4 linked regions of the Drosophila melanogaster genome follow. The protein of the gene in region 2 interacts with the protein of the main gene of each other region in a pairwise test. Each region holds a gene or a part of one and is shown on either strand. Other genes may lie near its edges. The genes, in order: flap, yellow-g, CG7606 and CG33170.

What was found.
Region 1: the proteins of yellow-g (region 2) and flap interact in a two-hybrid assay, tested with the Drosophila melanogaster proteins (one large-scale study listed by BioGRID).
Region 3: the proteins of yellow-g (region 2) and CG7606 interact in a two-hybrid assay, tested with the Drosophila melanogaster proteins (one large-scale study listed by BioGRID).
Region 4: the proteins of yellow-g (region 2) and CG33170 interact in a two-hybrid assay, tested with the Drosophila melanogaster proteins (one large-scale study listed by BioGRID).

Annotation. Positions count from the first base shown.
Region 1 is NT_033778.4:22,096,334-22,101,594, forward strand, and holds the start of flap (flapper), read right to left. Parts: upstream 3,202-5,261; 5' UTR 2,749-3,201; coding exon 2,649-2,748; intron 1-2,648.
Region 2 is NT_037436.4:2,269,065-2,274,569, forward strand, and holds yellow-g (yellow-g), read right to left. Parts: upstream 3,706-5,505; 5' UTR 3,628-3,705; coding exon 3,187-3,627; intron 2,076-3,186; coding exon 1,879-2,075; intron 1,445-1,878; coding exon 901-1,444; 3' UTR 817-900; downstream 1-816. Other genes in the region: CG32302 (uncharacterized protein), read left to right, coding at 1-717.
Region 3 is NT_033777.3:17,594,686-17,599,337, reverse strand, and holds CG7606 (uncharacterized protein), read right to left. Parts: upstream 2,803-4,652; 5' UTR 2,776-2,802; coding exon 2,575-2,775; 3' UTR 2,562-2,574; intron 2,507-2,561; 3' UTR 885-2,506; downstream 1-884. Other genes in the region: Sgs5 (salivary gland secretion 5), read right to left, coding at 3,340-3,374, 3,434-3,622, 3,679-3,946; Sgs5bis, read right to left, coding at 4,365-4,390, 4,448-4,636.
Region 4 is NT_037436.4:22,863,591-22,868,361, forward strand, and holds CG33170 (uncharacterized protein), read left to right. Parts: upstream 1-1,895; 5' UTR 1,896-1,950; coding exon 1,951-2,106; intron 2,107-2,180; coding exon 2,181-2,234; intron 2,235-2,287; coding exon 2,288-2,374; 3' UTR 2,375-2,444; intron 2,445-3,525; 3' UTR 3,526-3,809; coding exon of another isoform or gene 3,810-3,873; 3' UTR 3,874-3,945; downstream 3,946-4,771. Other genes in the region: CG33169 (uncharacterized protein), read left to right, coding at 393-569; EMC4 (ER membrane protein complex subunit 4), read right to left, coding at 3,950-4,264, 4,317-4,446, 4,507-4,562.

The sequences.
Region 1 (5,261 bases), on a different chromosome or scaffold from region 2:
TCGCCTGCAACTCGGCCCCTCATTAACTTGAATGCTCAGAGATAGTGAAGATGATTTGCGTCACGGCTGGCGGCCGAAAGTGTTATATCTCGTATCTCGCGGATTATGCCGAAATTATCGAAATTCCCCACACTTCCGCCGCAAACGGTGCTCAAGTTCAGGCCAATTAATTTTGCTTGTCTCCAGCGAAATCTTCATTCGCATCGACATCTCCATCTCCATCACCATCGCCATCTCCCTCACTGTTTATGTTTATTGAATTTAATTTTTAATTGATTGACGGCTTCACGACATCTGCACCCACCTAGAGACAATGGGTATTTCTGTTGAAAACATTTTGCACTTGCCAATTTTACAGTTTGTTTACCATCTTCTTGATTTTGACATGTTTCTGTGCCTGGCCAACCTTCGCCGGAATCAGCGAACAAAAATTGTAATGGATTTTTATTAATCTTCGTTTATATCATCTCGCAGACCTTGGAGGTATCGACATATTGGGCTGTCATCCCACACAGAAACGGCTAACGAAATGTGTCAAATGCCGTGCCAAATCGCCAAAACACAATCCCAACTTGTAAATTATACTTCGATGAGAAACGAAATGTGTTTATTGCACTTGAAATAGCCAGATGAAATATGATTCAATTGTGATTGGCTCAAAAATGTCAAGGGGCAAGTTGACTAAAACGGAAACCGAACTCTCCCATAAATGAATAAATATTTGCGGTTTAGAATGGCCCCAGAACCAATTCTATATAGATTGGAATGTGTCGGCTGTCTTTGATAAATTGGCAAGAGTTAGTTGGCTATGTCGAAACTCCAAACTGCCGCCACTCATGTGTCTACATATCTTCATCTATATCCATAACTGGTTGATATCCTATTGTGTTTTAATTACGATAATCTGCGACTGAATCATAAATCAAGGCACGCGAAAGTGAGGCACGATTACCCATTTCAGATCCGTGCGAATTCGCTAATTATCACGTACGGGTCCATTCATTATGATGGGTTCATTGATTGCCGAATATGAAAACCGCGACCGAAATATAACTATTTCGTGCCAAACAAAACCATTAGGCTCCAATGATATTTCCATCATGGGTGCTTTGAATGAGCTCTAAGTTTATGGATTGGTTTTAATTGTTAGTAGCCAATTAACTTGTCTAGTTGGTCAATGGGTTTTGGCCAAGTCTTTAAACCGTTTTCTGGTACATTCATTCTCGAAATCCTCAGTTTCTTGTCACAGCTTCTTGCTTGTGGCCCCATGACCCAAAAAGAGCGCCCCGACATTAGTCTCTAGTTGGTGTAAACAACTTAGTTAACAGATCGTCTTGACAAAAGCGTCGCTAAATTTATGAACTACATGGACTACCCCCCAAGGGACTCCATTCCAGAGGTCGTTTAACCCCTCCTTTAACCCCCCAAACGCCAAGAGGAAGACGGATCGACAACGACATCGCCGAAGCCTTGCCAGTCACGTTATCTTCAGCTTACGTAACTCCACTTGCTGGAGCTCTGGGTTTCAGTTTCGTCTTGAGATTGGAGTTGGAGTTTTGGCTTTGGTTTTGGGTTTTCTTCGGGGGCCTCTTCACAACGGCTCTTCTCGAATTTCGTTTTTCTTACGGCTTTGCCTTTGGGAACTTCGCTGTTTGTTTTTACAGCGGCTACCTGATTTCGCTTTCAGTCCAAAAAAAACTTAATGATCAGCACCCAGTTCTTCAGTTTGTTTGTCAAACAAAAACAGCTTAAGGCTGCATTTATAAAGGCTCTTCAACGGCGAAGGCTAATTGCATGCATAAGCCTTCGGGACAAGTCAAGAGAATGCACTTCTCTGAAAAAATTAGTATTTTAAGATATACTCTTCTCTGTGGACATCCATAAACAAAGTGGTTCCATATATGTATTGACATCCTAAATAAAAATTAGCCAATATTTCAATTGATTTCAGACCCAGTGAGTGTTCTATTGGTGCAACTGTCATTAGTTGTTAGCTGTGGGATAGCACTTGCCTACCCACCGATGTGGGTCATGATCACGATCACGATCGAAGTTAACTGTGGGGTGAGTTCGAACTTGTGCACCGGTGAGTTTTGGAAATGCAAATGCAAATGGAAAGTGAGGGTGAGATTGTATATGCAAAAAGTGAGTGAAGAATTGGAATTTCTAACAGATATTCATAGACAGAGGAAGGGGGAGGGGGGCTCGGGATCAGTTCAGAATAAATCTTAGTAGGATCGAGATAAAATCGTAAAATTAGTTACAGATAACAACGTCAAGAAGAAGCTGAAAGTCATGGGTGTGCTATTCTATACACAAGTTATAAAATATTCATAGATGGTAATGTTACTCAAGCAGGTTTGACTGGCATAATATTTATGCCATATATTTATAATATCTATAACTTTGTATGTCACCCATAAACTTGTAGCTTCTTCCAGAAAAAAACGCAATAAGCACACATAACATTTAAAACGTAAACCGCAAATAGGAAAGAGGTAAAGACAAAAAAAAAGCGAAGAGGATCGCCGTTTCAAAAATCCGATTCGCATGCTGGTGCGAATTGAATATGCGATCCGATAGCGCAATCGCAATCGCAATTGCAATCGCCTTAGTTTATATCTATATAGGCTGCTTTAATTTAATACCAGGCCTTCCAGCGGCGAAATCGGCGCCGATGATCAGCAGCAGCATAACGGTAAAGCTAACCACGCTGCCACCGCATCGTGTCTTCGGATCGAACTGCATTATCTCGTGGGTGAGCACGGAGCTTCGCGTTTTGGCTTACTGCTCGTATTATTTCTCTTTATATATTAACCCCTTTTCGAATTTGTCACGCAATTAACAATTTGGAATTGGGCATTGCCCAAAGGGGATGGCAGCGAGATCGGCGGGAATACAATTATATCGCGTAGGAGCCGTCGATCCGGCCAACAATGATCGCGATGACAAAATCGCAGGCGTCGCAATCGAAGCCGACAACTATAATGTGTAATATTTTCACCGCCTTTTCTCAATCGGAATAAAATCCGCGGCACGATATCACGATCACTTCGGTGCGCGAGCGAGAGGGTGCTATGCGCGGAGGGCGGCGGTGCGAGCGAGCAAGAGCGATGGAGATCGTAGGTCGTATCTGGGAGATGCGCGATGCGCTCGAGCGAAACACGTCCGTAGCTCACGGATTCTGCGCTTTCAATAAACTTGGCCAAGAGCCGCTGCTCCAAGCTCGACTTGGCTAAAGCCGCGACGTCGCCAGCGACGCCGACTGCGACGGCGGCAGAGTGTCAAGTAAGTAAGTTGGGAAAAATGGGAATTTCGAACGCGCGAAAGCGTTATCTATTCAAGAGCCTTTTTCAGCTTCCCCCCGAATTTTCCAACCCTTCTGATCGCCATGTGTGTGTGTACTACTATCAACCGGAAAAGAGTGCAAAATAATTATTTTAATTACCCCAGGTGATCAGTTTTTTTTTGCATACTGGTCTCTCGCCACACTTTGACGCACTGCCAATGACGTTCAAGGTCAGCCGAGCAACATGATCGGATTCAGATATTAACCCCTGTAAGCCAACTTTTGTGTTATCTTAAAAATGCGTCTATAGCACGAATATCTTTATGAGATTAGTAGATATGACGAACAAGATAATATATGTAATATGTATTATATATTAATATCAACGAAGCAAGCATACCAAAATAGAAGTTGATCCCGCATTTCGATAAGGTGTTAATATTAACATCCAGCTAACAGTCGCCTAACATTAGTGCTATTCGCTAAATGATTTACAAGACAATAGCTAAATCGCCTCCCAAATAGACACAACTTTCGCATAAATTAAACACACACGAAATGCAAATGGTTATTGAAAACGAATGTGCTCCGTTCGGTTTGTTTATTTTGACAGGTTTGGCTTGATTTTTGGAAAATTATTATGCTAACAATGCATAAGTTATGCCTTCCATGTGCCACAGATTCGCCAGATCCTGTTCCCACAGCGAGTTCTTGTTGTTCTCGACTCCATCTCAATTCATTAATACAATATTTGACAATCGCGGCGTTGACATAAACACATTTCAAACTTGCCTGTTTCAGTCTGGCTCAGTGCATTGGGTTCTTGACTGGTCTGAGTCAGAGAACCAATCGATCGATCGATCAGACTTTTGGCAGATCAGCGTTCAGTAAAGATGCGTTGAGTTGGTCGGCGGTGTCAGTGATCGATGAACTTTTGGCATTTCGGCCCGCCCGGCTATTGACGCGACCGGTGATTAGATCATCGCACCTCGTGCTCATAAGTCATCACCTTTATGATCGCCCCCCATATGAAATTCTTTTCATATTTTGCATATAGAAGGTAGTTCAATAGTCTCGTACTTTAGTATCAACGATATGTTTCTGTTACGTCCTTGAATAACCATCTTCTATGGTCTTCAAACTTAAGTGCGGTAATGATCGCATTCGAAAGCCAACCGTGACCATATCTTCAGATGTCTCTGGAATGTAATTATCATTTGGCCCGAGCAAATCTTCTTTTTTTTTCAGCGCCCATCACAAAAAATTATGTCAGCTTATTGGTTCCGCATTTGAGCATTTGTACCGGCATTTGGCTTTCGACGATCAAAAGAGCTTCAAAAAGAGTTTCCTCGCCCCATCAGTTGGTGCAAATGGGCGTAGTTTGAGGAAAGGGGTTCACATAAATTGTAGCAGTATATATAATATTAAATTCTATAATCTCTAAAAAAGCTTATTCCTGAGAAATATATCTTTGAATGATATCTATTTGGAATAGCCCCGAAAACCATGCCACTGCGATGTCAGTGATTGCCCAGTTGATGGGGGGCAGTGGTGTCGGGAATCACGGCTGTTATTATTGTAACAATTACAACAAAGCTATTGCCAAATGGACCGCGATCCCGGCAAATGGCCAACGGTAGCGCTGTTGGAGTGGAGTATTGGGCGCCCAGCTCCTCCGCCCATAAATCAAATCGCTAAGGGACGCACAAAGGGGCCCAGCTGAGACAATGCCCATCAATGGGCGGCTGGCGTCGAAGAAGTAATCAAAATTGTATTACGAAAACAAACGTTTTTATACATTTCAGGCCGCTTCGTCTCGTTTCGTTTCGTTTGGCTTGGTTTCTTTTGGCTTTTCGGCTTTTGGCCACAACAATGGCAACACGCTGGCATCTCGGAAACTGCACAGTCAGCTAAGAGCGGCAACAAAGCGCCACATATTATTTACTTTAATAGAGTCGGCTCAGTTGGGAAA
Region 2 (5,505 bases):
GGATGCACCTTCCAGTCGCAGTGCCAGGTGCCCAAGAGAGGTCCCTTCAGCTGTCAGCAGGCGGGCCTGTTCCCGGATCCGTACGACTGTAGGCGGTACCACGAGTGCAGCGATCAGAGTGTGGACACCCCTCGCATCTGCTCCAACGGAGCGGGCTACTCCACACTCACGGGCACTTGTGTTCTGCCACGGGAGAGTGAGCAGTGCATCCAGGAGCAGTTCACCTGCAGTCGGTCGGGACAAGTGGGTGGATGGGCGCCCGACAATCGGTACTTCTACGTCTGCGTCAATGACACGGCCAATTCGCTGTATCCGCTGATGATGAAGTGCCACGAGGGATTCGTTTTCAACAGCTACAGCTGTGTGCCCGACACCAGGAGCATGAGGAGCATTCAGGCGATGGAGTCCCACACGTGCATGAACAACGATAGGTACCAATGCCCCTTCCGAACCTCTGAGATCGAGTACTGCAAGTGCGTCGATGGAGAACTGGAGGTGATGACCTGTCCCGCCGGCTTCCAAATTGATCCTAAGATCCTGACCTGCGTGACTGATAGGATCTATCAGTGCTCGGACTTTGAGATCCTCAGCTGTCCCAATGTCTCCACCAAGGATGAGTACTGCATATGCATCGATCACCAGCTGCAGATCTACAGCTGTCCAATGGGACAGTATTTCAATGCTGAGACTCGAAAGTGCCAATCAGAGTCAGAGTAATGAATTGTTTTCATGGTACCAATATTGATTCAAGTAAATGCCTATTTAAAAAATTGAAATCATTCTGAACATTTTAAGATAAACTACAAATAACTATAAATATTCACCAAAATTTTAATGAGACCCAGTAACGACAACAAATCAGTTTGAATCTTAAGCCTAAGAAAGTGGAGGGATACGGACTCAATCGTCACATTCCCGCACCACAGGATGCAGGACGATCGAGGCTCCGTTGCAGCCCGTGCGATCCGAGATGAAATCGTGGAAGTTGCTCTCCAGCGCCCACATGAATCGCTTGTGACCCGGGAGCACTTGGGTGGACAGCCGGCAGTCGCCTCCCCGCTGCACCTCCTGCAGATTGGCGGCCTTGAAGCAGGTCTCCGAGTCCCACAGGTAAATGTCGTTCTCGCCCTTGTAGCGGAAGAAGAGCGAGGTGCCGCCGTCGGCGCCCAGCAGCACCGCCTGTTTGCCATAGGGCTTGGGGCCCACGTCGATGATGGAGCCCGCTCCCTGGCCAACGCGCAGGTACTCGCCCTTGATGGAGTACAGACGGGGGGAGCTCAGGTAGCTGAAGAACAGGGTGGAGGTGCCGTCCGGCTTCGAGGTGAGCGCCACGTACAGCACATCGCTGGTGGGGGCGGTGGCCTTCGGCAGGACGATGCGGTAGGACTTGTTGCCGGTGATGTCGTATACCAGGATACTACGTGCTCCAGCATCGGCCACATAGCTATGGTTGAAAGTGAAGGAAATATAATGTGGAATGAGATTAGATATCATGTATGCAATACAAATCGATTTTATTTGGTATATGATGAGCCACACTTCTGAGAACTACCTTGAGCAGATAAGATATGAGCCTCAAAGTGGCTAATGCCCTTTTGATTGGCTCAATGATCGCTGATTGAAAGCATGATTGAAAGTGTGTGGTAAAAGTACTCCAAACTCTTGATTCAGTTCGATGATTTCAACGAATATTTTATGACTGCAATATGAATCTCTGAATATCATTGTGCTGATAAATAATGGTTAGTAATAATGGTTAATAATAATGTAATGTGTGGTATTAATTTCATAGTTGATGTATTTCAAAAAGTGATTAAGTACAACTCATTTCACAGATGAAGTTAAGGGTAATAAAAGAGTATAGGCAATGGAACTCACACGAATGGCTTGTTGTCCTTGGAGTAGTCGACCACGATGAACTGCAGCCGACTCTCGGAGGTGACCAGGTCGCTGAGGTCGATGCTCTTGACCACCTTGTGGTTGGCCGTGTTTATGGCCACGATCTTGGGACTGCATCTGCGGATGGGCTGCTCCAGGGTGTTGACAATGCCCACGTCCAAGGCCCACAGAAGTCCCTGCGAACGGAGAAGGCAATTATTAATTGCTATCAATTGCAGCTCGTGTTGATTGTTGTTAATGTTTTCATTTGGCGGCTAATTGAAATGTTGGCGGCGTTAAAAATTCCACATTCGCAAATATGTGGCCATAAAATGAGTATCAGCGAAAAGCACTGAATGGAAAATTGCGCAAATAAATAAATACAGTCGCCTCGTTTGTTTGCCGTTTGTTATTGTTTCGTCGACTTTTGTGTAAATAAAATAAAGAAATGATTTGCATAAATGCAGCTAAACGGGAATGGCATTTAAATGAGAACGATTCGACGCCAACAATAATTGAAGGAAATTATTAAGTTGCAGCTTATGCTCGCAATCGTAAGTAGGTCATGTAAATATTTAATAGCATCATTGTAATATCTGCGAATGCATCTGTCATTTAAAATTAAAGCTGAGAACTTCTGAAGTGCAATCGAAATGCACAAAACACGGCTGGATGGCCTGTTCCCAGCATTTCCAAAATTATTTTCGAGAACTTTTCACTGCATTTGCTTGTCACTTTTCAGCTGCAGTCCTTGTCCTTTATAATATTCCATTTACCCCACAGCTTTTTCGGCGTTTCCGTATCCGTTTATTCTACCCTTAAATTGCTGCCGCCAATTGACGGGCATGAATTTTATTTGGAGCTCTTCACTTTTGTGGCCCCGTTTATTTGATTAAAAAAGTAATATTTGGTCGACAGCGAGGCTAACCAATTAAAAAAGTGCGTCCGGCAAGGGGTTAATGCGAAAACGATACCCTGGAGCTAAACTCCCGATTTTGATCGACTTTGTAAGGGCTAGCAAATATTTAACACTGCGACTGCACATCAATATCAATATCAGAAGATAAACTAAATCATTTTTAGAAAAAAAAAGTGAATAGCCCTAAGAGCATTTCAATGCTACCCTGTAATCCACCCACGATACAAATATGAATTAAACATTTGGTGTGGGTTAAAGTGCTATGCCTCCATGGTGGCCAACAACGAGCAGTCCGTAATTAAAGGCAGAACTGGCAGTTTGGACGAGACAACTTGTCTGACCCCCAAAAAAAAAATGGTCCAAACAATACTGGCGTTAATTGCACTCACATTCTGATCGACGGCTATGTCCACGACGGACTGCAGCGCCTGGCAGTTGCCCTCCTCCTGAATGGCCCAGCAGGGATAGGGTGCGATCTTGGTCAGGCACTCGCCCTTCTTTAGATTGACCTTGCCGAGAGTGAAGGGCACGCCCTGCTTGTACCTGGGCAGCGCCACGAAGGCGGAGTCCCGCTGCAGTTGGGCCCGGGTCACGATCACGTTACGGGGCACATAGCGGCCGGACTGGACGTAGATGTTCTTGGTGGACTCGCAGGGCCAGTGGAGGCTGCTGCCGCTGAGCTGGAAGGTCAGTTCGTTCAGCGGGTTCTTGTCGCACTTGGTGCCGCCAATGGAGTTGGAGGCGTCCGTCGACTCGTCGGTGGAGGAGCTGTATCCCGCGAGGACCACGGAGGCCGAAGCGACGAGGAGCAGCAGTTGCAGCTGCGACATTTTTCGGCGTTTCTTTCTGCGCTTTCCACAAACAGAGCTTCTGCACTCGATTCACCACGTTGGCCAGAACATAAAACTGTCTGAGCGATGGTAGACCTGCATTTATATATAATACCCAACGACTTATGCAGCCAGCATGTGGAGCGTGTTGCGGCAAGGTCGTTGGTTGCTTGACACGGGGGGGAACAAGTGTCTGTCTGGAGTGGCTACCACCCAGCCAGCACGTCTGGCCCACGCCGGAAGTCGGCCAGACCTCTAAGCCCGCTCGGTTTCTAAGCAATGCGGAAAGCGATGCGGAAATGAAATGCAAACTTAACCCCTTCCCTCTATCTAGATTACACGATTCTTCCTAAGCCATCCAAATCAAATTTAACTCCCCTGGTTTTTACTTTAATTGTCTTGATAACAGTTTGTTCTATTATGGCAATCTATGCCTGTCTAATTAATCACTTCTACTCCTTTTATTGCTCTTATTTTCTGAGTATAACTTTGTGCTATTATAGCCATTTATAGGCAGCTAATTAGTCACTCAAGTCCGTTCAATAAAATGGGTTCAAGTTGCGAAATAGCTTCTGTCACTCATCGATCGCTCTTGTGCATCCGACAGAGTAGCAAGTTTCACCCCTTGGCAGGCAAAGTTCAGAGGTCGCTGCGAAACACTTGCCAAAGTGGCCCAAAAGTTCAATATCAATGCTGACGTCTGTGACCTGCATATCTGCGACCGAGAAAGTTTCAGTTTCTTGGCTCGAGTTACCAGCTATTTTCGGATGACAAAAACATCTGTCAGTCCGTCCGTCTGCAGCTAGCTATCAGTTTGCTTTTGGGGGAGGGGGCGGGCGAAAGGAGAAAGTTCGGGGAGTTGGTGGGGCACATTACTCGCAGATAAGATTGCAAGTTGCCGGAGATTCGTCGTGTGAATCACACCCACAGTTTCGCGGAACAGTCACTCTGTTCCAAATTGATTTCATTTCTATTTTAAGATAAATGCAAAGGCGAAATTTTATCGCATCAGGGAACTTTAAAAGGCGCTCTGAGTTCGCCATTTTCAAGTCGGGGGTATAGCTCAGGGGTAGAGCATTCGACTGCAGATCGAGAGGTCCCCGGTTCAAATCCGGGTGCCCCCTGGAACTACATTTTTTGCCATATTTTTTTTTGTTGGCTGCTCAAGTCTCTTTGTGGACTTTGGTGGACTTTTTTGCACGTTGATTGCGGGGGGATTAGAGGTGTATCCGCCCGACGTGGTCGATGACCCCGTTAACTCGTAGAAACCCACATATCGCCAAGCGGCGAATAAAAAATCTTTGACACATTCGGGCAAGCGGTGGAGGAGTCGGTGTCCAGCTGAAGAGTCTTTTGTTTGGGACAGCTCGTGCAGCGAATTATGGACAGCACTGGGCTTACATTAAATCACAAAATGTTTAATCTCCTTACAGCTGCCCATCATCAAATGACCATCGGCGGGTCAACATTTTGATAACCCATTCATCGGGGGTCAGACTGGCTGCTCCTTCCGCATGGCGGAATGGGAAGGGTCTGTCTATAATGCCAAATTACATGCAGATTGAATTTTTGTGAATTCCGATTCAATAAACTGCCATGGGTCCAAACCCCCCTTCCCACGATCGTAATCCCCCGATTTATGGCACACACATGCCCAAAAGCAGGCGGATGTGATAAGTGCTGTGATATGTGGGCGGGATTGTCAGTCGGGCCGAATCTGTGGATAAATATTTATGTGCTCCAACATAAATAAAAGCAAAGTATGCAAATGGAAATTTGACGATGCTAAGACTCTTTTACTCTGCAAAAACAGCTTACAGATACGATTATGGCAAAGCTTGAAATCAGCAATCATTTATTCATCTCTAGACTTTAAAT
Region 3 (4,652 bases), on a different chromosome or scaffold from region 2:
TCTTTGCCTGCTGCCAGCCGGTGTAATGAAATCTGATTGCAAAATACATATTCAATTGAATTGAATTTTGCCAGCGCTAATGGAAAATCGTGCTCGGTAAATTTAATTAGGCACGGAATATATGCAAACATTTGGCAAACACTCGCTTCCAAAAGTCAGTGTCGACTAAAACATGTGATCCTCATCGGAATAATGCAAATTTCAGCTCATTAATATCAATCAAATGATTGATAGCACTTAGGGCCAACACCACAGTTGGTCCGCACCCCTCGATTCCGATTCCACTCCCCTCTCTCGCAGGACTGTTAATAAATCCTTTGACAATTGCTACATTAATGTCAATACATTTACATTCGTGACCGACCCCTTTCCTGTCACAATATTTGTACGACTCGTGCCGAAAAGGACTCGTGATAAGTATCCGCATTGCGCTGCGGAGATTGAAATCCCGCATCCTGCCAGCTATCTCCGCCCGGAGATTCTGTGTCAAAGTTTTAGCTCGATTTTGCGGCTGTCTCATCAATCAATTTCGTTTAGCCACTTGTCACTCAACCATTTTATTTGGCTTACCAAGTTTCGGGTGCGACTAATTTCCGGCCAAAGGGATTGAGCTAATGCAAATCACATTTAAAACACTGCACCTAAATCACAAAATTTCATCGAGAGACCAGAGTACAGCTGTAAATATAATTCGAACATTGTGTTGGACACTATGTGGAGTATTGGGCAGCCATTGCTGGCCGCGCGGTAAATTTGCAACAAATTAAAGGCCAATTAACCCATCAGACGGGCTTATGAGCCGCCGACCGCAAATGCACGCGCACACACGCAATTGCAACTATGCAATTATCAAATTAGTGCGGGGCGTGGCGGGTCAAGCAATTGGAGAAACAAATAATAAATTGGACGCTGAAATGCAAAACACACACACTAAGCACTATAATTAAGTTGTTGACCCGACCCGACTTGACCCTCACTGAATCGGTTTGGGCCAAGATGCGATGCACAACAACAACCAACAACCAACAACTGACAACTGACAGGCGCATAGGCCTCGAATTAATTAATATGTTTGCATAGCACAAGATGCAGCAATACAGCAATTATGAACTGGCACGGGTGTGTCCCGTCATTCTCCCTATTCCCCCCACTAATTACCAATTTTTAAGTCCTCGAAATGCACTTAATTTTCCACTGATATGGATCCTCCCTTTCGCGTTCTAATGTCCGTTGTGGCCTATTGAACACACCCCTTGGTATTTGGCCCACCTTACCTAAATGAAACGGCACGCGCCGCTGGAAATTTTTCACCAAACATTTTCAACATACCTCTGCGGTTTTCCGGACGTTTTTATAGTTCTTCTCAAATTGCTCTAATTCGTTAAGTTATAAAACCGGCCGCCAAGTTTTCAGATCCATTTACTTTTATTGCCACGGCGGCGGTCAATGAACCAGAAGTCAAAAGGACTGCCCAAAAAGGACGACACATGCGTGTTAATCTCTAATTTGCTAGGTGATCATGTGGATATATATATATATACATATATATATATAGATAGAATGCATACATATTCAACATCACAGCGGGTAGTTGATAGGAGCTTGTTCCATTCGTATCCTTTTAATTGCCAGACGTCGCCGTGTTTCGAATTTCGGTATCTAAAGTTGTTTTTCCCATTTTAATGGCGCTATTTTCATTAGGCAAATGTATGCTCGCCTTATTCCTTTCAATTCACTCCCAAAAAATGTCGACTCCTTTATTTTTTTGTGCCGCTCATTAGCATATAAAATGTATGAGTTGTCCTTTATTTGAGAGGCAGTGGTTGTGCTCGCCAGCGAATGGGTCTGTATACACAATCCACGTTTATTGCATATTCATCATTTTAATTGCTTGTTTTCATACTAAATGACTCGATAAGGCTTTTACGGCTATTAGGCGCAGGCATCCTGCGGCTCGACAGTTGGGTCATCTGTATCCATATTTAAAGGATACTAGGAGGAACTTGGTCAGATACGCCAATTTGAACCGAAGTGTGTTTAGCACGGATAAATAAACTCTTTACTTTTCCAATTCGAAGACAAGCCTGGCTTTGGAATCCTTCAAATGAAATTAAATACTGCAGGACTCCAGCTAAAAGGACAAAGGAAGCAATTCACGTAGAAAAGTGCAAACGAGATGTAGCCGAGGGAAAAGGCAGGCGAATGGGGTCCCGATATGATTACTTTTCCTTTTGTTTTCCCATTTCGGAACTCGGAACTGGGGAAATCAAGAAAGCGTGGTGGAAAGAACAAAGGAATTACTTTGCCAACGAGTGAACGAATATGAATAAAAAAGTGATCAATGCAATGAAAATGATTGTCTGCTCATTGTACCGCTCCCTTTACAATTGAGCGCACAAAGTGCGAAAAGATGAAAGTTTGCAAAATGTATCAGTACTTTAATGAAAAGGAAAAACAAATAATTTGAAAAACGAAGGTTTTGTGAAGGCAAAGTTCTGAAGGGGTCCTGCAATTTGGGTATATTAATGAAATATTTTACACCATTTTTGTGCTACACCTACCTGGAGTCCTGGATTAATCCTTGCAGCCACACCCGGAAGAGGAAGGACATCGACAGGGGTTGCAGCCACATCCGCAGGATCTGGATCCGCAAGAGAGGCACTGCGGCTTGCCACACCCACACCCGCACTCGACCTGTTCCGGCTCCTCAACGGAACAGCTCTGGACCATGGAGATGGTCAGGGCAACCAGGATGATTAACTTTATATTGAACATTGTCTGGCTGTAGAAATCGAAGTCCACTTGAAACTGTGCCAAGGCGGAATGAGGATCGACTCTTTATAGGTTCAACTTGGGGGTAGGGCATTATTTGATCAGTTGATCTTTTATTCTATTTTAGGCTATCACTGCTGATTAAGTAAACGAGTGGCTCTGCGCCTTTTTATTTATCAATAATATATGTTTTCTTTAAATTTATAGTCGATTCAAGGTTGATAACACTTCGTTCTGCGTTTATAATTGATTTGTAAATATTTTCAATATATGTAAATACTATTTACTGGTTTTTAAGGAAAAAAAATGACATTTAACCAAAAGTTAAAGACCAAAAAAATAAATAAATTATGGTGTTGAAAAATAAAAAGCTTTTCAATGTTTAAACATATGCATAGCTGTTTAGTCTAAAAAAGATTTTCATATTCAAAAAAATTTATTGCACTCGTCATTGAATATATTTCTTTATTATTTGTAATCCATCTCCCTTTAAATGAACAAATCAACAAAATAATAAAACAAACAAACAAAGATATTAGTAACGTGATCCAACTGAATCCACCTCACTTAGAAGGGCCAACAATAGGAATAAGTCAGGAATGCTGTAAAGATACAAAATGTATATATTACCGAAAATTTGGAACCAATTCTTTTGACTTACGTTTGCTGTTCTCCGCTGAGAATTTCAGCAGGTGGCACAAACTGTAGAATCTCTCTGTGGCAATCGATCCTGGCTTTCGATTGCATCCACAGGGAGCCGGAATGGGGAATTCAGCAACCACGGGGAAACCCACGCTGCACTTTTTGCAGATGAAGGAACGGCAGAGTTCCTCCGTAACGGGCACAAATGCTGTATTTACAAGATATAAATAAAATACTTTTTACTTAACTGGTTAATTTACTTACGGGATCTACCCTCCTTTTTGCGCTGGTCGCTCTCGATTTGCATAAGGCATTCGTTTTGGAAACAACGGCAGACACAATCCTGAAGAGCCCATTGGTAGTTCCTATAGTAAATATTGCATTTACTTGGGACGCTCGTAGAGTTCTTTATTTCGGATTCAATTTCAGGCTCTGATACTGGTTTTTCTTCGATTTTCGTCTCCTGGACGGCTTGTCCATGGTGGAACCACGAAACGGCCAATAACAAAAGCAGCAATTTAATATTGAACATGTCGTAAAAGTGGCTAAGAATATAACTGTCCCCATAATATCTCATTTGGCTATTTATATTGAATACACTCCACTGTTTTAGCAGTTGTGGCAAAGCGCTTTATTGACTTAGTGCATCTGAAAGTAAAATGTTTGCAGAACGTACGCAAACAACCTTGACTGGCCAAAAAAACACAGCCATAAATTTTCCACTCCAAAAAAAAGCTTTATCACACAGGTTCCTAAAAACAGACTCTAAAAAACATAAGCAACGAAGACTTATAAAATCAGGTAATAATGCACCGTTTTAGGCGCTTAGTCAATCAACTCTTAAGACAAATGTAACAAAAACGTTTGCTGCTTTAAAATGTTTATTCATTATTTTTAACAAGGACGCGTTCGAGGTAGTCAAATTATCATCATCAATTACAAGTCATCTTTTAACACTTCGAGTAGCTGATATAGGCTGAAAGATATAATTATTTATGTTATTAACTATATTTCTATACAAACATCAACTTACGTTTGTTGCATTCAGCTGCGTACTTCTGCAGTTCGCACAGACTCAAAAACTTCTTGATTTCCAGACTGCCCTGTTTGCCATTGCATCCGCATGGCGATGGAATCGGGAACTTGGCCAGCACAGGCCATCCAAGGAAGCACTTGCGCTTGATGAACTTCTGGCACACCTGCTCGGTGACCGGAATTAGAGCTGAAAAATATAAACA
Region 4 (4,771 bases), about 21 Mb from region 2:
CTTGCTACGACATTTTTATGTTCAGATGGAGGCAAATACAGCCCCAGGTTAATTGATGGCTTTCTAACTTATGAAATGCGTTATTTAATTATAAAGACTTTTTTAAACGCGCGCTTCCGTCCCAGAGACATTGTTCAACACTAGTCGGCCGGACGTGTCATCAGAGTAACCCGACCAGAAACTGCATGAAATAAGCAGCACTGTCGACAGTCAAAAGCTGCCTGCTTTTAGCCAGCCCAGTCGAACGTTTCTTCTTCTTCTTTGGCCCAGAAACAACTTGTTGAACGAAAGAAGGCCAGCTCTCTGTTTTGTTGCTCCACGCACACACATTCCGACGAGTGTTACACGTCACCAGATTAAAGGAACTATCGCAAAAACTATCAGTGATAAAGATGCGCCAGCTGAAGGGAAAGGTGAAGGAGACGCGCAAACAGAAGAAGGAGCGCAAGCTGGACAACCTGGAGACCCAGGCGAAGATCCGCACCGTGGTGCTGCCGGCGCTCGGCGTTTTGGCGGTCTTTCTGGTGCTGTTCGTCTACTTGAAGACCCGCCCCGCGGTCTTGGCCTAATGTAGTCATAAAATGTAGTTTATAGTCGTGGTCAGTGCAATTGAATCGTTGTAAAGACATATAGCCTTAATAGTACAATTAAATCACAGTTCGTCCATCCAAAAAGCATGTTTTACATAAAGTGGATTTTCCATGACACGAACAACACCCTGCTGTTCAAGTGCAGTTCCTGGGAATTTGAGATTTGGGGACAAAATGTATCCGAATTACGGTCGTTGGTGGTAGTGTTGAAAACCGTCTAGCGCTTTGGCGGTTGATTAAAAAAGGGCACTAGGAAACGGTAAAAACCGTAGCAGAGGCACTTCAATATGTAAATATGTGCATATGTATATTAGAGAAGGCGGCATCCACCAACATGTTTTATTTTTGGCCGTTTTGCGTTCAGTTTTTAATTGCGATTGCCCTTGTTTCAGTTTCACTTACGCCCGTCCACCGAGGAGCTCGTCGTCGGTGACCGCAAACTAATAATTGTTAATACATATGCATATGCATGTACATAAATTGAAGTAAAAGTTCAGTGCTCGAAAGGCAGTAACTTAACTCCATAGTTATCAGAGTCAGCCAAATACGATTACCTAACCATACAAACACAAATCGCAGTGGGCCAGTCAGCTGTTTTCAGATTCCGAGCAGCTGCAGACGAAGCGCCGAAGCAGCGTCGTTTGACGTTTCTTTTTCACATTCTCTCACTTTTGCTAAGACTCTCACGCTGGCGGCTGCGGGTGACAAAGGCTCCTTTAACTATTCCACTATGCTCAAGTTTCTGGTAAGTTTTCCGGTTTCCTGATGTTTTTAAGTTTATGATTCACACCTGAAATCATATCAGATACGAGATACAACTTTTCTGTGGTTTTTGTGGTTGTGTTGCTTTTCGCGGCGATGACGCGCCCCTGCACAGTGGTGAAATGTGTTGTCTAGGGGTTCAAAATCAAAACCAATTATTTGATTAAATATTAATGATTAATATAAATGACAAAATGTAATACATTTGAAAATACCTTCCCAATATCTAACTTCAACAAATAAAAAAATAGTATTAAAAGTTTAAGCAAAATTCAAAATATTCTTGCTCGGATAAAACAAGAGTGGATTGGTAAAACGGTAGAAAGTGCGCCAAAACACCAGTTAAATAGATTCCAAAATTGGTTCAATTTGAGTTTACTTCCCAGTGTGCGCTGTTTGAATACATACATAAGTGACTTTTGGTTCAACGTTATATAAGGCCTCACAAATTCAAATATCCACAAAAATAAAATAATCACCTAGTCGTTGGAAATTATGTCGACCATGACCGCTCAAGCCATGAGTAAACAGATTCGGACTCTTTGAAAAACAACACAGGCCTCACCAAATTGATCGTTTATATAGACTGGAAGTTAAAATGAAACTGCTTGGACTTGGGGCGCAGGTTTTGAGGCTCAAAACTGGCGGGCAGAGTCGCTCTGCGAAAACTTGCCCACCGGAAGTTCGCCAGCCATTGCCGTGCTGTCCCAAAAAACGCTTTTGGACTTTCAAGCGAGTAATATGTTTCTCGACGGTCAGCATGCGAAATAGACATCTTCAGGAAGATTTTCACAACCCACTCTAATAATCCTCCTTTCTCCATTCCAGTTAACTTTTGGCGCCGGGGTGTATACGGGAATCTATGTCTCACAGAACTATGAGGTAAGCCACCTAACCCACATTTGTTCTTGCTCCTAATACAGTGGCTTTTTTAGGTCCCCCGAGTGGATGATCCCCAGAAGTTGATGCAGCGTTTCAACGAGAAACTCAAAGAACTAATGGATCAAACCAAGAACAAGTAACAGCCTTGGTAGTTTCGTACAAGGATAACGTTACCTTCACTAAATTCAAAAAAGTCATAGAGCGACCTTTGTAATTTTTTTTTTTTTTTTTTTTATAATTTTTTTTATTATTTATTGAATCTTCCCTTTGTGTTAAGAGACTAACAATAAGTGTTCAAATCTTAATCTAACTTAATTAACTTTCACTTAGTGATAGTTTTTTTTTTTTTCATTAATGCCCTAATAAGTTTATTGCTGGGCTGGGAGGTCGTTGCGGTGCAGCCGGCTTTGACTGCATACTCGGATTAGTTTTCTTGCGAGGGGATTTGTATGGGTGGTCAGCTTTTCGTTATACTTCGTTTTTTTCTCAGCTATTACTTCGATTACTAATTTGATTTTTAGGTCTCTGTGTATGTTTTCGTTTCGAAGGTACCACGGCGCTCCAGTGATAATTCTCAGAATTCTTGACTGTGCTCGCTGAATAATGTCTATGTTACTTCTGGATGCGTTGCCCCACAGCTCGGAGCCATAAGTCCAGATAGGTTTTAAGACGGAGTTGTATAGAAGAGCTTTGAACTCCAGACTAAGTGGAGAGCGAGCATTTATGAGCCAGTGGAGGTTCCTTGCTTTAAGTTTAAGATGTTTCGATTTGGCTTCTATATGTTTGCGCCAAGTGAGCCGCCTGTCCAGATGAACTCCCAGATATGTTACCTCGTCGGCTTGTGGAATGCATATGTTATTCAAGACCAGTGGTGGGCATGTTTGTTTGTTTAAGGTAAAGGTAACCTGCTTGCATTTTTGAACATTTATTGAAATTCTCCAGTCGGCAAGCCATCGTTCTACAGATGTTAAGTGTCGGGATAGGAGTGCCGTGGCTTTTATTGGGCATTTCGAGCGACTGAGTATCGCGGTATCATCAGCGAACGTGGAGGTTGTTAGATTGTAGTCTATGGGGAAATCCGCCGTATACAGGGTGTATAAGATTGGACCCAGTACACTGCCTTGCGGCACTCCAGCTTCGATTGCGCAATCGCGTGAAGTGCTTGTATCGCATCTTATTGCAAACACTCTGTTATATAGGTATGACTTCAGTAGCTTATGTGTGTTTTGGGGCAACAGCTTGATTATTTTAAACAAAAGTCCATCGAGCCACACTCTGTCAAATGCCTTTGTAATTAAAATTGTAAAAATTTTATAAGTCGAACTTGTCAACTAAACCTGGATTTTTTTTCGATATCTTATATTAAGCTTTCCACGCGCTTGTTTTACAAATTCTGAAAATAGGACAAAGTGCTGAAAAAATGCGTGCGAAGTCGTGATGATATCTTTCTACTGTGGTGAATGATGGCTTTTCCGAATAAAAATTTGTTGCCAGGTGCAACCATGACGAAATCAATGCTAAATAAGATCATATTATCATTCTGTATCTTAATTATTTTACTATTTTCTTTAACAGATCGCCCGGCGAGAAACTAGTGGATGACATCAAAAAGGAGGCCAAGAAGATACTAGACGACTGACTGGCGGAATAAGACCACAATTTTAGTTTAAACCAATTTATCTATGATCAAATAAAGAGAATCTATATGTGTAAAACTAGACAAACGAAATTCCTCCGCCGTAATATTCCAGGCGTGTCTGAGGCTGGACAAATGCCAACCAATCGGAGGCGTGGGTGGGGAGGAGCCCCATGCTCTGGCACTTGTAGAGGGCCAAAGCCACGTTTGCTAGGTTGCCCAGGAAGTAGACGATGCGCTGGCCAGTTCCCTGGGCCCCCTCCGCCATTTTGGAAGTCACCTGGGTGGTGAAGATGGCCTTGATAGGCCGGATCAGCATCATGCCGACCATCATGATGGGAAAAATGGAAATCGAGTTTCCTGACATGTACATGATGAATAGATTCATGGGAATCTGAGGGAATCCAAAGGTTAAGCACGGGTCTTTCCAAAGGGCTGCTACTCACGTTCTTAAGAGGTCCCAGGGCAAGGTCCCACGACTTCTTGATGACCAGGCGCTGGTCGCGCACCACTTCACTCTGGTTCACCAAAGCAGATGGATTGTAGCCCAGCGGCGAAGGAATATCAGCATTTTTGCTGCAGGAAAAAGCAAAAGTGGTAAGAACTTGAGTCACCGCGCAGGCTAGCAATCCTTACCTCCCGTTAAAGTCCAGCGCCCACTTTAACTTTTTTGGGTTTTGCTTGGCGGACATGCTGTGCTTTCTTTTATTTAATCTTTTGCCAATTTATAAAACAAAATGACGATTTTTTCTGACAATTGGTCGCTGAGTGTTGTTCAACGTTAAATTCCGAAATTATTGTAGTGTAGACAATTCGATAGGCAACTGATGTGTATGGCACCAGGGTATCGATAGGCAGTTACGATTTTGCGCGGACTTTTTGAAACGCATGTGCAAAAATC